Linked DNA regions of Anolis sagrei. The protein of the gene in region 1 interacts with the protein of each later gene in a pairwise test. Links are inferred from orthologs where the notes say so. Each region holds a gene or a part of one and is shown on either strand. Other genes may lie near its edges.

Evidence for each region.
Region 2: the proteins of CTNND1 (region 1) and ZBTB33 interact in binary tests that used the Homo sapiens proteins (3 or more experiments, as listed by UniProt). The link is inferred for Anolis sagrei from reciprocal best matches to the Homo sapiens genes CTNND1 and ZBTB33.

The regions. Positions count from the first base shown.
Region 1 is NC_090021.1:234,377,213-234,384,745, reverse strand, and holds the start of CTNND1 (catenin delta-1), read right to left. Parts: upstream 3,018-7,533; 5' UTR 2,428-3,017; intron 1-2,427. UniProt on the Homo sapiens protein: Key regulator of cell-cell adhesion that associates with and regulates the cell adhesion properties of both C-, E- and N-cadherins, being critical for their surface stability.
Region 2 is NC_090030.1:3,275,086-3,283,064, forward strand, and holds the start of ZBTB33 (transcriptional regulator Kaiso), read left to right. Parts: upstream 1-4,967; 5' UTR 4,968-5,022; coding exon 5,023-5,065; intron 5,066-7,979. Other genes in the region: NKAP (NF-kappa-B-activating protein), read right to left, coding at 825-994. UniProt on the Homo sapiens protein: Transcriptional regulator with bimodal DNA-binding specificity.

The sequences.
Region 1 (7,533 bases):
ACAATCTCAAGCTTCCTTTGTGTGAAGGGAGGAGATTGTTTCTTTCACACAGGCAGAAATGCAGAATCTCTAGCATTTCAGAAAACATTATTATACTGCCGGGCGGGTGACTGCCGGAACTGGCCCACCACACACTGTGCTGTGGTGAGACCCCGAAGGTATGAAACCCCTCCCCTGCTCCTTTTTGAAGTGCCTTTGTGTTCATGCTCCGGAGGGAGACAGCCAAGCTGTTTTGTAAGGGGCTTGGTATGGCCCTGGGAGAGTGAGAGAGTTATGACCGCAATTCCACAGCATTATCTACCTCGGAGGAACAAGAGAAGGCACAAAATGGCACGGAGGAGCCAGTCCAGGAATGCAGCCGGCTCCTCCAACAGCTGCCTTCTAAATTCTCCCCTCCTTTTGGAATTCTGTCCATTTGCTACCATTATGTGGTAGAACGAACGCAAAGGCTGTGACAATTGTCCCCTTGCTCTTTGTATCTTAGTCTGGCAGGAACATCTTCCATAGGATCCAGGATCAACTGGGACTGCTTTTTCTGTACCAAGCTGGACCTCCTAACCCTCCAAACACCGGGAAAAGATTCACAGACCTTATTAGCACATCATACTGAACAGGAGTTTAACAAAGACAGGTCTGTGCCCTAATGAAGACACAGCCTTCATTAGGGAGGTAGTAGGAAGACAAACTGGATGGACATCAGTAGAGACAGCTCAATCCAGGGTGGATCTCACAGGCAAGAAAGATACAGATGAATGCTAGACAAGGACCTTTTCCAGGACAGAGATGTTTGAAGCTAAATAAGGGCCTTTCCACACGGCACTATATCCCAGAATATCAAGGCAGAAAATCCCACAATATCTGCTTTGAACTGGGTTATCTGAGTCCACACTCAGATAATGTGGGATTTTCTACCTTGATATTCTGGGATATAGGGTTCTGCGGAAGGGCCCTACGACTCAAGATAAGTCCAGGCTGCCAGGGCTTCCCACGATTCAAGGCACAATCCTGGGATGCACTGAATGCCGATAGGATTATGGCCCAATGCTATGGGATCATGAGATGTGTAGTTTTGCAAGGGGCTCATCGAATGCCATTTGAAACGGCTTTCACTGCCATTACAGCCCAATGTCATGGGGTTGTGGGATGTGTAGTTTTACAAGCGTCTTCTGCCTTCTCTGCCATGCAATGTTTGTGCCACACCAAACTACAACTCCTTGGATTCTGTTGCACTGAGCCATGGCAGTTAAAGCGGTGTCAAACTGCATTAATTCTGCAATACACATACACATACACACACTAAAGAGATACATAAACTCCAGATTAATCACAGCAGATGACCCCTCCTTTAACTAGAGCAGGCGAACTTGGGCCCTCCAGGTGTTTTGGACTTCAACTGTTACAATTCCTGTACTCAGGCCCTTTAAGCAGCCGAGGGGGAAAAGGAAGGGGCCTGAGGCTGTTAGGAATGATGGGAGTTGAAGTCCAAAACACCTGGAGGGCCCAAATTGGCCCATGCCTGCACTAGAGACTCCTAAGGCCAGGTCTCTCTTTGCCATTCAGCTCAATGGGCCACCAAGGAGGGGCAGCTCTAAGAAACCTTAAGCCAAACTCCCAAGCTTGGGACGCAAAGCAAGTTGGTAGAAGACACAATGCAGTGAGCCAAGCTCCACCCCAGGACCCTGAGAGCGACCCACACATCCCTTCGCCTGAGGCCAAGAGGCCCACGCCCTCCAAAGGGAGGCTCAGCCACCAGCACCGTCTCTTTCTTTTGTGTGCATGCATCTACACTGGGGAATGGACACAGTTTGGCACCACCTATTGGGGCTCCAGGTTTGGGGAGTGGCCCTCCTTGGCAGAGAAGAGTGAAGACCTTGGTGAAACAACCAGTCTTAGGAACCATGGCAAAGAAAGTAGTTTCGAAGTGCATTCATTCCACAATGTAGATGCACTCTGCTGTTCAGCAGTGGAACTCTCTACCCCGGAGTGTGGTGGAGGCTCCTTCTTTGAAGTCTTTTAAACAGAAGCTGGATGGCCATCTGTTTGGGGAGCTCTGAATGTGATTTTCCTGCTTCTTGGCAGAAAGGGGTTGGACTGGATGCCCCACGAGGTCTTTTCCAACTCTTACGATTCTATTGAAAAGCTGGCCAAGACTTCACCCCCTTTATACCATTTCAGCTTGATGCCTTTTAGCAAACCTGGGCCCTCCAGGAGTTTTGGACTACAACTCCCGCAATTCCTAACAGCCTACCGGCTGTTAGGAATTGCGGGAGTTGTAGTCCAAAACACCTGGAGGGGCCAAGTTTGCCCTTGCCTTGGTCTACACTCAACATGGAATGCAGTTCCAACCCGGTGCAGTTCTATGCTGGAGCAGATCCAGCCAGAGTTGGCTTTGCACTTCCCCCTCCTCCCCTTCGGCGCTTGGCTTACCTTTGCTTCCTTCTCTTCCTCCAACTCTTCCTTGCTTCTAGTCTTCCTTGACCAATTATTATTCTCCTTTCCTTCCTTCCTTTTCTGCTTAGGAATCGAGTTGGAACTTTCTTAAGGTTTCGAAACAAGAGAGAGAGAAAGGAGTGTGTCTTGAGTTTTCCAGGCTGCCTTTCTTCGCAGAGAGCCACCAACTCTGCTCTCTCTCGCGCGCGCGCGCGCTCCCGTTGTCTCGCGCTCCCTCTCCCTCTCTTGACAACTTCCCTTGGACTGGGCTTGCCTTTGCAAGACCCGCGCGCGTGCAGTTGCCTAACAAAGAATTTAAAGCGCCCCACTCCTTAAAAGAGAAGGAAGAGAGAGAAAAAAAACAATGGAATGGAGGGGGGGAGGTAATGTAGGACTCCCCGCCTGCTCCTCTTCCTCCTCCTCCTCCTCCTCTTCCTGCGGGACTTTTCTCTCCTGGCTGGCTTGCTCTCTTTCTTTCTTTGCTTCTCCCCCTTCCTTCTTCCTTCCCTCCCTCCCTCGCTCGGCTCCAACACCTAAAATGGAAGTTGCGCCCAGCCAAAGGCGAGGCAAAGAGGGAGGGGAGGGAGGGGAGGGGAGGGAGGACCGGACCCCCCTCTTTCCCGGAGTGATGTCAGCTCCCGCCCGGCTCCAATGGGAAGCAGGCATCAATCAGGGAGCCCGCCGTCCAATAGGAGATACCATTGTAGCATTTGAGGGGGGGAGGAAGGGAGAGAGGGAAATGGGACAGGACTCACCCAGAAAAGAAAAAGGAAAGAAGGGGGAATGGCAAGGGGCAACTTCTTTCTGCAAAGGCTGTAAAACAAAAGACATCTATGTTCCTGGCAAATCCCAAAGGAAGGAAAACTTCTTTCAATGGGGAATGGGTGTCGTTTCTTCCCATTCAGGGGTAGAATCAGAGAATGATAGAGCTGGGCCAACCAGTCCAACCCCTTTCTGCCAAGAAGCCGGAAAATTGCATTCAACGCACCCCTGACAGATGGCCATCCAGCCACTGTTTAAAAGGAGCCTCCACCACACTCCGGGGCAGAGAGTTCCACTGTTGAACAGCTCTTACAGTCAGGAAGTTCTTAGAATTACAGAATCCCAGAGTTGGAAGAGATCTCGTGGGCCATCCAGTCCAACCCCTTTTGCCAAGAAGCAGGAAAATTGTATTCAAAGCACTCCTGACAGATGGCCATCCAGCCTCTGCTCAAAAGCCTCCAAAGAAGGAGCCTCCACCACACTCCAGGGCAGAGAGTTCCGCTGCTGAACAGGTCTCACAGTCAGGAAGTTCTTCCTAATGTTCAGGTGGAATCTCCTTTCCACAGCCATGAACTGTAGGAGCCATAGAATCATAGAATTGGAAAAGACCTCGTGGGCCATCCAGTCCAACCCTCTGCCAAGAAGCACAAAAATGGCATTCAAAGCACCCCCGACAGATGGCCATCCAGCCTCTGCTTAAAAGCCTTCAAAGAAGGAGCCTCCACCACACTCTGGGGCAGGGAGTTCCACTGCCGAACAGCTCTCACAGTCAGGAAGTTCTTCTGACTGTGTAGCTAGCTACACTAGAATTAATGCAGTTCGACACCACTTTGACTGCCATGGCTCATTGCTATGGAATCCCGGGGTTAGTAGTGTTGCAAGGCTTCTCACCTGCTCAGCCAAAAACTGGGGTGCCCCACCAAGCTACAACTTCCATAGCATTAAGCCACAACAGTTGTAGTTGGTGTCAAACTGCATCCTTTCTACAGTGTAGATCAAGCATAGACACCCGGCCCTTCCACACAGCCCTATATCCCAGAATATCAAGGCAGTAAACACTACATCTGTGTGGATTCAGATAACCCAGGGCCCTTCCGGACAACCCTGTATCCCAGAAATATTATAGGTATTATTATTATTATTATAGGTAAAGGTTGTCCCCTGACATTAAGTCCAGTCATGCCCGACTCTGGAGGTTGGTGCTCATCTCCATTTCTAAGCTGAAGAGCTGGCATTGTCCGTAGACACCTCCAAGATCATGTGGCCGGCATGACTGCATGGAGTGCTGTCACCTTCCCGCCAGAGTGGTACCTATTAATCTACTCACATTTGCATGTTTTTGAACTGCTAGATTGGCAGAAACTGGGGCTGACAGCGGAAGCTCACGCCACTCCCTGGATTCAAACCTGCGACCTTTCAGTCAACAAGTTTTGCAGCTCAGTGGTTTAACCCACTACGCCACTGACACAAAAACACAGTATGACACAGCAAACGAGATATATATTCTGGATTTCATATCACAAAATCATTATTATTGTTGTTGTTGTTATTATTAATCCCCAACAATACTAATTCTGATTTCATTTGAGCCCAGCTTTTAAAATACGAACTAACATCCTATTAATTTTAATCCCAATGTTTATTTATTCTGGCTTTCTTACAGGACCACCACATTTTTATTCCTTTGTATCCTTGATTTTAGGAAGGAAAGAAACGAGGATGCTACACTGCCTGTAACAAAAGGAACATAAGTTTAGATTTCTACAGCCTTTACATTATTACTTTTATAAATGCATTCAGATTTAGAGACAGCATCGTGCAGCATATTTGTGATGTGCAATCAAGTCTTGATTAGAATTGAGAAGCATTGTTAATGGACAGCAACTGGCAGGCTTTATTTTGCATCTTATTATGAAAATATATTCAAGATTACAATGAGCAATTTACCTTCCCCACCTTCCCCACACCACTTTTCTATTGATATATAGACAGATAGATATATAGTCAGTAATGAGACAAGTATATTTGGAATACTTGCTGAGATATTTTTCATTTTGGCTCCCAAGAATGAACAGTGTTTGTCACCCATCGATTAATGGTGACTCCATACATTTCATAGGAGGTTCTTCAGCTATATAGGGCTTACAGATACAAAGGAAAACAAAAGTGTTGCAACTTCAATAGTTGCACAGGATTTTTTAGCCCATGTTTTTGTCATGCAAGTTATGCATGCTGAAGCACCTTCTTATATGCAATATGTTGGAGCCCCCAGTGGCATAGTGGGTTAAACTGCTGAGCTGCTAAACTTGTTGACCGAAAGGTTGCAGGTTCAAATCTGTGGAGCAGCATGAGCTTCTGCTGTCAGTCCCAGCTTCTCCCAACCTAGCAGTTCAAAAACATGCAAATGTGAAAAGGTCAATAGGTACTGCTCCAGCGGGAAGGTAACCGCACTCCATGCAGTCATGCAGGTCACATGACCTTGGAGGTGTCTACGGACAATGCCGGCTCTTCGGCTTAGAAATGGAGACGAGCACCAACCCCCTGAGTCGGACACTACTGGACTGAATGTCAGAAGAAAACCTTTACCTTGACCTTTGCTAAGTTGCAGGAGACCTATCCTCTTTTTTATGTTCTTCTTTTATTTCTGTTCATATTCTTTGTTTTGGTATCAGGTAATTTTAATTTTGCATTTATAAAACACGAAATATCATCTTGTTGTCTAAATTTATGGGCAAGTACAGGAAGTAGGAGCACTGTGGTGTTCTGTTTTCTGTGTGTCGCCACAGAAACCCACTAGGTCACTTTGGGTATAACCTCCGAGGAAGACAATGGCAAACCCCCGCTGAATGACTCTTGCTGGGAAAGCCCCATGGTGGGTTCCCTTTCAGGGAGTTGGAAACACCTTGAAAGTAAACAACAACCTGGTAATTCAAAATGGAACACCATCAAGGTTTTTTGTGCCTTGGTCATTTGAAAAGAAAGCTTGAGATATACATATTTTTGCTTTCAGGTTGTTACATGGCTTCCGGTTTGTTTCTACTTGGGCAACTCTATTGTACATTTTTCTTGGTCAAGTTTGCTTTTGCCTTTCTCTGAGGCCCAAGATCACCCAATGGATTGCTACAGCTGAGCAGGGATTCAAACTCTGGTTTCCTGGAGTCCTAGCCCAACACTCAGACCATAACACCATATCCTCCCAATGTTTCACGGATGAAAAGTAGAGCACATATGGCCAAACAACAAAATATGGTCAGGCTACCAAAAGTTATAACTGAGGAAGAGCATTCTTCTTGTTGCTGGAGAAATGTTTAGAGGAGTGGTGGTTCTCATGAAAGTTTTCCTTGATTTAAGTCTACTGAGAAGAGGCTTATAGCCATATTGTGGGTGGCTTGGATTCAAGGGTGACATGTATGCCCACTTCGACTCACTTTTGTTCAATTTTGTCCAGTTATTTAATAATAATTATTTATATAACTTTTACCGAGGACAGCTTGAGAAGACATCCTAATTTTAATTGCATTTGGAGCTCATTTCACCACTTTAGCATGAACTTTGTACATTCCTGTAATATAAGCTAGGAAAGCTGTCATCACAAACCAGGGTTAACAGGATTAAAGCACTGTATCAGGACTTTCGAATAGCAAGGGTGAGTACAGTATATCATCTTTCCCCACCCTTCATTGTTCCCTCTTGATTGCTCAGCTGTAACCCTGAAAGTCGCTGGGAGATAAAATGCATTTTCCCAATAGCATTGTATTGTTGTGAGCTGTCCCTCTTGTAATGCAAAGTTTCTGGGAACGTTATCCTCTTGAAAGAGCTATTAAAACCCATTCGTTTTACAAAAGGCTTGTTGGTGGTGATAAAAAGCATCTGAGGATGCTTGCCATAGATGTGGGTGAAACATCAGGAGAGAATGCTTCTGGAACTTCCGAAACTCACAGCAACCCTGTGATAAAAAGTTTCCTGAAATGTATCTTTGCAGATCCCAGTATTTTGAGATTCTCTTATTGTAAGTGTGGCATTGAAACTGGTGGGTAACTGAGCTTCAGGATTGATCACTGCATGTGCATAATTTCTGTAACATTCAATGTTATACAACTTTTCCTATAAAACTGGCAATATGTATACTTCAAGAACATTTAACAGAATTATTATTCTCATTTTTATTATTATTTCTTGCCCACCTCTCCTTATGAGTTAAAAACATTAATACCAATTAAAGTACACAATCCGTTTTAAAAGCATACATATTAAAGTCAGCATTTTAACACTTGTAATTTAAAAACCATCTGAATACCCTGGGTTGTTTTAGGGTTTTCGGGCTGTATGGCCATGTTCTAG
Region 2 (7,979 bases), on another chromosome or scaffold:
AGCTTGTTTTCTGCTTCCTTGGAGACTAGGACGCAATGGAACAATGGCTTCAAACTGCAAGAAAGGAGATTCCATCTGAACATGAGGAAGAACTTCCTGACTGGGAGAGCCGTTCAGCAGTGGAACTCTCTGCCCCAGAGGGAGTGTGGTGGAGGCTCCTTCTTTGGAAGCTTTTAAACAGAGGCTGGATGGCCATCTGTCAGGGGTGATTTGAATGCAATATTCCTGCTTCTTGGCAGAATGGGGTTGGACTGGATGAAGGCCCATGATGTCTCTTCCAACTCTTTGATTCTAGGATTCTATGATTCTATGAAAATTTTTACTGAGCACCTATATAGGGTCTGGAGAACAAGCCCTGTGAGGAGCGGCTTAAAGAGCTGGGCATGTTTAGCCTGAAGAAGAGAAGGCTGAGAGGAGATATGATGATAGCCATGTATAAATATGTGAGAGGAAGCCACAGGGAGGAGGAGGGAGCAAGCTTCCTTTCTGCTTCCCTGGAGACTAGGACGCAATGGAACAATGGCTTCAAACTACAAGAGAGGAGATTCCATCTGGACATGAGGAAGAACTTCCTGACTGGGAGCGCCGTTCAGCAGTGGAACTCTCTGCCCCGGAGTGTGGTGGAGGCTCCTTCTTTGGAAGCTTTTAAACAGAGGCTGTATGACCATCTGTCAGGGGTGATTTGAATGCAATATTCCTGCTTCGTGGCAGAATGGGGTTGGACTGGATGATAACCCAGGAGGTCTCTTCCCACTCTAGGATGCTAGGATTCTTTGATTCTAGGATGCGGCCTAATCCCCCCCGGAAGGCCTGCCCGGACTGGCCTCTGCCGCAGCGCCTCCTCCTGCTCCTTGCCGGCCTCTCCGTGCCACAAGCCCCGCGGAGGGAGGCCAGGCCTCGGCCGGGACCTCGACCGGGACCGCGACCTCGACCTCCGGGCTCGGCTGCTGCGCGGCGGCGAGGAAGGGCTCCGCGAGCGGGACACCGGCGCCATCGCCACGCTCCCCACACACAGGCCGCACTCGCTTCCGGGTCTCGACGCCACCAAAACAAACAGAGGCCCCGCCCACCAGGACGGAGACGTCACTTCCGGTGGAGTGGCTGGCTAGCGTCTTAAAGGGCCACCACCCACAACTATTGTAGCACAGAGAAGGAACAATGAACAAGATTTGGACTCACTGCGTTATTGTTGTTGTTCTATTATTATTATTAATAATAATAATAATTATGTACTATTATTGTAGTGTTATGCCTGTGTTATTAATACTTCTGTATTATTACTACTGTATTACTTGGACAGATACTGGTCAATGGACATTTAATCAACTACCAAACTCACAAATTTTGTATTCTGTATTTTGTCTGTTTGTTTGCTTTGTTCTTGTTAGAAATGTAATATAATGTACTGGTTGCCCTGACACGACAAATAAAAATAAATACTACTGTATTATTATTACTTCTGTTTTATCATTATTGTAATTACTGTATTATTAGTACTTCTGTATCATTGCTATTATTTCTGTATTGTTGCTATTGTAGTATTACTGTGTTATTATTACTTCTGTATTATTGCTATTACTTTATTATTACTGTGTTATTATTACTTCTGTATTACTGCTATTACTGCATTATTACTATATTATTATTACTTCTATATTATTATATATTGCGATTTGAATGCAATATTCCTGCTTCTTGGCAGAATAGGGTTGGACTGGATGGCCCATGAGGTCTCTTCCAACTCTTTGATTCTATGATTCTATGATTCTAATATATACTGTATTATTGCTATTACTTCTGTATTGCTGCTATTGTAGTGTTATTACTGTATTATTATTACTTCTATATTTTGCTATTATTGCATTATTGTTGCTTCTGTATTTTTGCTATTGTACTGTTATTACTGTATTATTAGTACTTCTGTATTATTATTGTAGTGTTAATATTGTATTATTAGTACTTCTGTATTATTGCTATTACTGTATTATTAGTACTTCTGTATTATTACTATTGTAGTGTTACTGCTATTGTAGTTATTGTATTATTATTTCTTCTGTATTATCACTATTACTGCATTATTACTATATTATTATTACTATATTATTATTTCTTCTGTATTATTGCTATTACTGTATTATTACTGTATTATTAGTTGTTCTGTATTATTGCTATTGCAGTGTTATTAATGTATTATTAGTACTTCTGCGTTATTACTATTGTAGTATTATTACTGTATTATTAGGAATTCTGTATTATTGTTATTGTATTGTTATGGTTGGGGAATCTGAGCTGTTAGGCTCCAAAATAACCCTCAGTTAGGGCAATGCCACCAAAATATAGCAGAGTACCAGGAGTAAATTCCATAGCCAGCAGAAACTTACGTGTGATGAGCAGGAAGAGCCTCTTAACCTTTAGGAAGGCAGAAGGATTGCAGAGACAATGTTTAGTTTCAAGATATTTATTAAATAAAAAGAAATACATTCTTGACAGAAAAGTCTTGGAGTAAACTAACTTGCTAAATCTCATCTTCTAAAGAAGGCAAAAAGTAATTCATTCAATGCAGCTACGTCCCTCCAAAACTGGCAGGAAGACACGTATCTACCCTGCTCTATGCAGGCGATGCATTGATACTATCCAGAACTCAAGTAGGCCTGAAAAGAGCCTTGAGAGCCCTAACAAAATATTGTAATGAAGAACAGCTTCATCTTAATAATAATAAAAAAACAAATTATGGTGTTTGCGAAACGACCCAAGCATCATACCTGGAGACTAGACGGACACAATATTGAACAGGTCTCAAGCTTTAAATACCTGGGAGTATTCTATCACTGCACTGGAAACAAGAAAGTACATGTGGATTACGTAGCAGACGCAGTGCAAAAGAGCTCATATGCTATCCTAAAGTTTCTCAAAACAGGAGGAGGCCACTTTGGAACACCCTCCCCAAAGACATTAGACTAGCACCCACGTTGGTAGTCTTTAGGAAGAACTTGAAGACCTGGCTATTCCGATGTGCCTTTCCTGAATAGGATAACCTCCAGCACTACGTCCCAGAAGCACTATTAGAGCTTAAGACTCTCTGCACATTGCACTTGCCCAGAATCCCAACATATCACCTCTTACACCCAGCACTTTTTTAACCTGTACCCTTCATTGGCCCGACCCTGGTTTTATTGTGTAATAGTGTAATGTTTTGTTGTTGTTATTGCTTATGTTTTTAATTTGCTTGCATTGTATTGTTATTGTCTGTTGTTGTTGTTTGAGGCCTTGGCCTTTGTAAGCCGCATCGAGTCCTTCGGGAGATGCTAGCAGGGTACAAATAAAGTTTAATAATAATAATAATACATACATACATACCAGCAGCACTTAAGCTCTTTGAGGCAAAACCAATAGCACAAATGATGTATGGAGCCCAACTCGGTCCCTTCTCAAACTATGCCCCTCTGGCGCAGGTACAATCAAAATTCCTAAGATGAGCGATGCAGATCCCCAGATGTGTCTCAAACGCCACCCTGCGACTAGAGACAGGCCTCGTGAGAGTGGGGGCGAGAGTGTGGACAGCCACCCTCAATTACCGGCTGCATCTGTCTCTCTCAACATGTGGCCTTGCTCCGTTAACTCTGAGAGATGAATTTCAGTCTACATGGAATAAGGCAGTGGCCATCAAAATCACAACTCTAGGCTTCTCTCAAGGACAACTGCTAGGTGTGGGATGGGACCAATCCAAGGCTCTTATGAGACAACGGATCCTGGATAGAGAGCGACAATGAGCCTGCTCTCCAGCATTCACCATTAGCGAAGGTAACAGATATCTCCTCGCTCCCAGGGCTTACTTAGCAAACCTGGAGGGGTTTCACTTTGGCAAGATGCCATGCCCTTCCATCGGCAGTACTGGAGGGGAGGTACAGGAAGACCCCTGCCCAGGAGAGACTTTGCCTGTGTGAGTCTGGCTACATTGAAACAACTGAACATGTGCTCCTCCAATGTGTGTTCTATAGAGACATTAGAGCTAATTTCATCACTCCGTGGCTTTTAAAACATCCAGGGCACACTGAAAGATATTACACCTCCCTGTTGTTCTCGGACTCTTGCTCTGCAACAACCTACAGTGTTGCCAAGTTCTGTGCAGCAGCAATTAACATGAGACGGCTGATGACCGACTCCACCAGGCAACTTCCTGCCGGGAATATAGTTAGAATGATTTGCAATAACTGAAATGCTGTAAATGCTCCCCTCTCATCCCTTTTTAGAGCTTCCCAGTTGTCTGATATTTGCATTAGCCGCCCCACTATTTTAGATTCATACATGCACTTTAAACTGTAAGTTTAGTCTGCTTTTTAATCTGTCTCTTTTATAACATGCTTTTAAACTGCTTTTTATCTGACCTACTTGGGAACTACGATTCCCTTCCTTGGGCTCTTGTGCCCCATTCTGTTCTGTGCTGATCAAAGACCGTAATAAATCATTCATTGATTGATAGATAATGCAGCTACATTTTGCCTACAGAGAGGCAAAATGCGTCCTCGCTGGAAGAAAGACAAAAGAGGAGGTCACATGGCGGAGACTGCCTAGCCTTCCTGGGGCAATTTAAACTTAAAAGGCAGTTGCTGAATTCCATTACTGTGCCATCAAAGTGGGGAGGAGGCAGTGGCCAGCAGTAAAGACAAGGCCCTTTGAAAATATGCACAGGAATGTGGGGAAAGGAATCCCTGAGCTTGGCCCTGTTTCTAGGCCAGCTACTCATTAAGGACTAGAAACTTGATGCAACAAAGACTTTTGAAACCCAACAATTAGTACTTCTGCAATATCACTGTATTATTGTTGTGGTGATCAACTTCTGCTCGTTCACTCTTCTCTTTCCTATCTCTAGAGTTCAGCCCAGGTGTCACACAAATCTTCCTCCCCCGCAGCCTCCAATGGGTGCGTTCCTTATTGCTGTCCGTGCGGCAAAGGGGGGCGGTCCTTAACGTTCCGGGAGGCCGTCCCTTTGTGAGGCAGCTTCCGAAAGCGGGAAGCGCGAGGATGGAGCCCGGCGCCATGAAGGAGGCGGGAAGCGAGGCTCCCGGTGAGAGGAAACCCTTCCCTAGATTAGTTTGGATGCAGCTACACTTTAGAATGAACCCAGTTTGATACCGCTTTAACTTCTAGGGCTTAATCCTACGGGGTCCTGGGATTGGTAGCCTGGCTAGGCCCCTGCATTCTTTGGAAAGGACCCTGCGAAACTCTGGCCCCGTCTGCACTGCCATATAAAATCCAGATTATCTGCTTTGAACTGGATTATATAGCAGTGTAAACTTTGATAATCCAGTTCAAAGCAGATAATGTGGATTCTTTGCTTTGATCAGGATTATATGGCAGTGTAGACTCAGATAATCCAGTTCAAAGCACATAATGTGGATTCTTTGCTTTGATCAGGATTATATGGCAGTTTAGACTCAGATAATCCAGTTCAAAGTGGATCATGTGGATTCTTTCCTTTGATAATCTGGATTATCAAAGCAAAGAAAGGGCCTTGCTCATTCTGGATCTACACTGCCACATAATCGAGCATCTGATCCCAGATTATTAATTTCCTTTAACTGCCTTTAATTATGGATCTATTCTGCTATATCGTCCAGATTTTATCAAAGCAGACTATCTGCTTTGAAGTGGATGATAAAGAGTCTACACAGCCCTATAATCCAGATTATCAAATCAGATAATCTGGGATCAGAAACTGGAATATGTGGCAATGTAGATGGGGCCTCATTCTTAACTTCGTACAAATGTTTAGGCCCCTTCTGCACAGCCATATGAAATCCATATTATCTGCTTTGAACTGGATTATATTGCAGTGTAGACTTGGAGATTATCTGCTTTCATAATCTTAGATTATATGCCAATGTAGAAAGGGTCTTATTCCTATTGTAAGAGTTAACTTTTACCAGTTCTGCACTGCACACACATTTAAATGTGTTGTGAAGGGGTGGTTTCAATGGGCAGGTTACACTATATGTGCCTTATTTATTTTTTGCTTCCCAAATGTTTGTTAAACTTGAAGCAAACAGGTCAATTCAAACTAAATCAATATCTCCAAAGAAGGAGATTCTGGCTTGCTGGTAACAGCCTGCATAATGGATTGGATCCTTGGAGATAGGTTGCAACCTGACCAAGAAATGTTGTGTTTTGATCTAACGTTATCATGGGTTTGGGGCAGGTGTGTTCACTTTTCAGCTGGAAAAGATGCAGTTTGCACGAAGATGATGAGATGCATGAGATGACATGTCTGTACTTTAGGCAACTATGGGCTGCCTTGATTTGAAATGAGCTGTTGCTTTTATCGATTCCGACCTACAGAGAGTCGATCGCAAATTTTTCCTGGCAAAACTTGATCAGGGAAAAAAGAAACGCTTTGCCATTGCTTTCCTCTGGATGTGACAAGGTTTCTGCGTCCAACTCTGGTCTCCACGGTGCTTAAACAACAACACATCTTAGGCCCCATCTACACTGAAATATAATCCAGTTTCTGAATCTAGACTATCTGTTTTGAACTACATTATAGGGCAGTGTTGACCCAGCCTTTGAAGGACAGTATTGTGCATGTTAGGATACCATCCTCTTGGAACAATAGTAAGTAAAATAAAAGGAACTAGCGGTGGAGTCAAACAGTGTGGGGAAATCAGATCTGATATTTTTCTCTTTAAAGGGGATACAAATAAAAAAGGAATACTGGAACTATGTGTCCCAATAGACAAGTATTTCCGGTATTTCTGATGGTAGAGAAAGTACAAGCAAGTGCGGTCTTGCTTTTGTTATTCCCCCCCCCCCCCACCCTCCAGTTCTGTAGGCTGGATCTACAGAACTATATAATTCAGATCATCAGTCAAATAATCCAGTTTATCTGATTTGAACGGGGTTATATGAGGGCCCTTCCACACAGCCTATATTCCTGGAATATCAAGGCAGAAAATCCCATAGTATCTGCTTTGAACTGGGTTATTTGAGTCCATACTCAGACAATGTGGGATTTTCTGCCTTGATATTCTGGGATATAGGGTTGTGTGTAAGCGCACTGAGTTTGGACTCAGATAAGGCTAATAGAGGAGTTGTGGACCAAAACATTGGAGGATCAGTGAAAGCTCAGTGGATGGCATTAGATGAGTCATATTCTGGTGTTGTTGAAGGCTTTCATGGCTGGAATCACTGGGTTGCTGTATGTTTTCTAGGCTGTATAACCATGTTCCAGAAGCAGGAGATAATGATTCTGGAATATGGCCTTACAGCCCGGAAAACTCACAGCAACCCAGTCATATTCTTCTTGAATAATTCATAAAGTTTTGGGGATAATACAAGGTGGAAAAAAAGTGCTACCTACACCTCATGCTCTGCTATTGGAAGGCCAATGCAAGCTTCCTAAAAAGTTCTTGCAGTGTGTATTCGAGGTGTTGATTGTGTTTGAGTTGTTGATGCTCTTTCAGGGAAAGCAGGGAAAGTACAAGAGCAATTGCTGCCATTTCAGATGAATGGGCGTTAATGGGCTGCTGTTTCCATGTGAAAGGGAAATGGCAATTGCTGCCTTTTCAGGCGGATAGGTCTTTAGCTGCCCAACTCTAACAGAGGGATTTATTTTTAATGGCTCTGTGAGATCGCACCTTATAAACCCAGGGCAGAATAGTTTTAGAGTGATGCTGCAGAGTGATTTTAAAAGGTGAGAAGTCCTTTACGTCAAAATATGTTTGGTCAAAATGCCATCTTGAGGCCAAGCTGGTGCAATTTAGGAACTAAATCAGCAGCTTTGTGGACAAAAGGTTAATCTTAGAGATACTAAGGAACTGTGGGAGTTGAAGTCCAAAACACTTGGAGGGCCAAGTTGGCCCATGCCTGCTCTAGAGCAAAAACATAGAAGGAATGGCTTGTATTCCAGTGTGGTTTTGGTTCAGTGGCACCCATTGATAGGGCAGGTAACAAATAGTCTTGTTGTTTGTTTGTTTATTTATTTG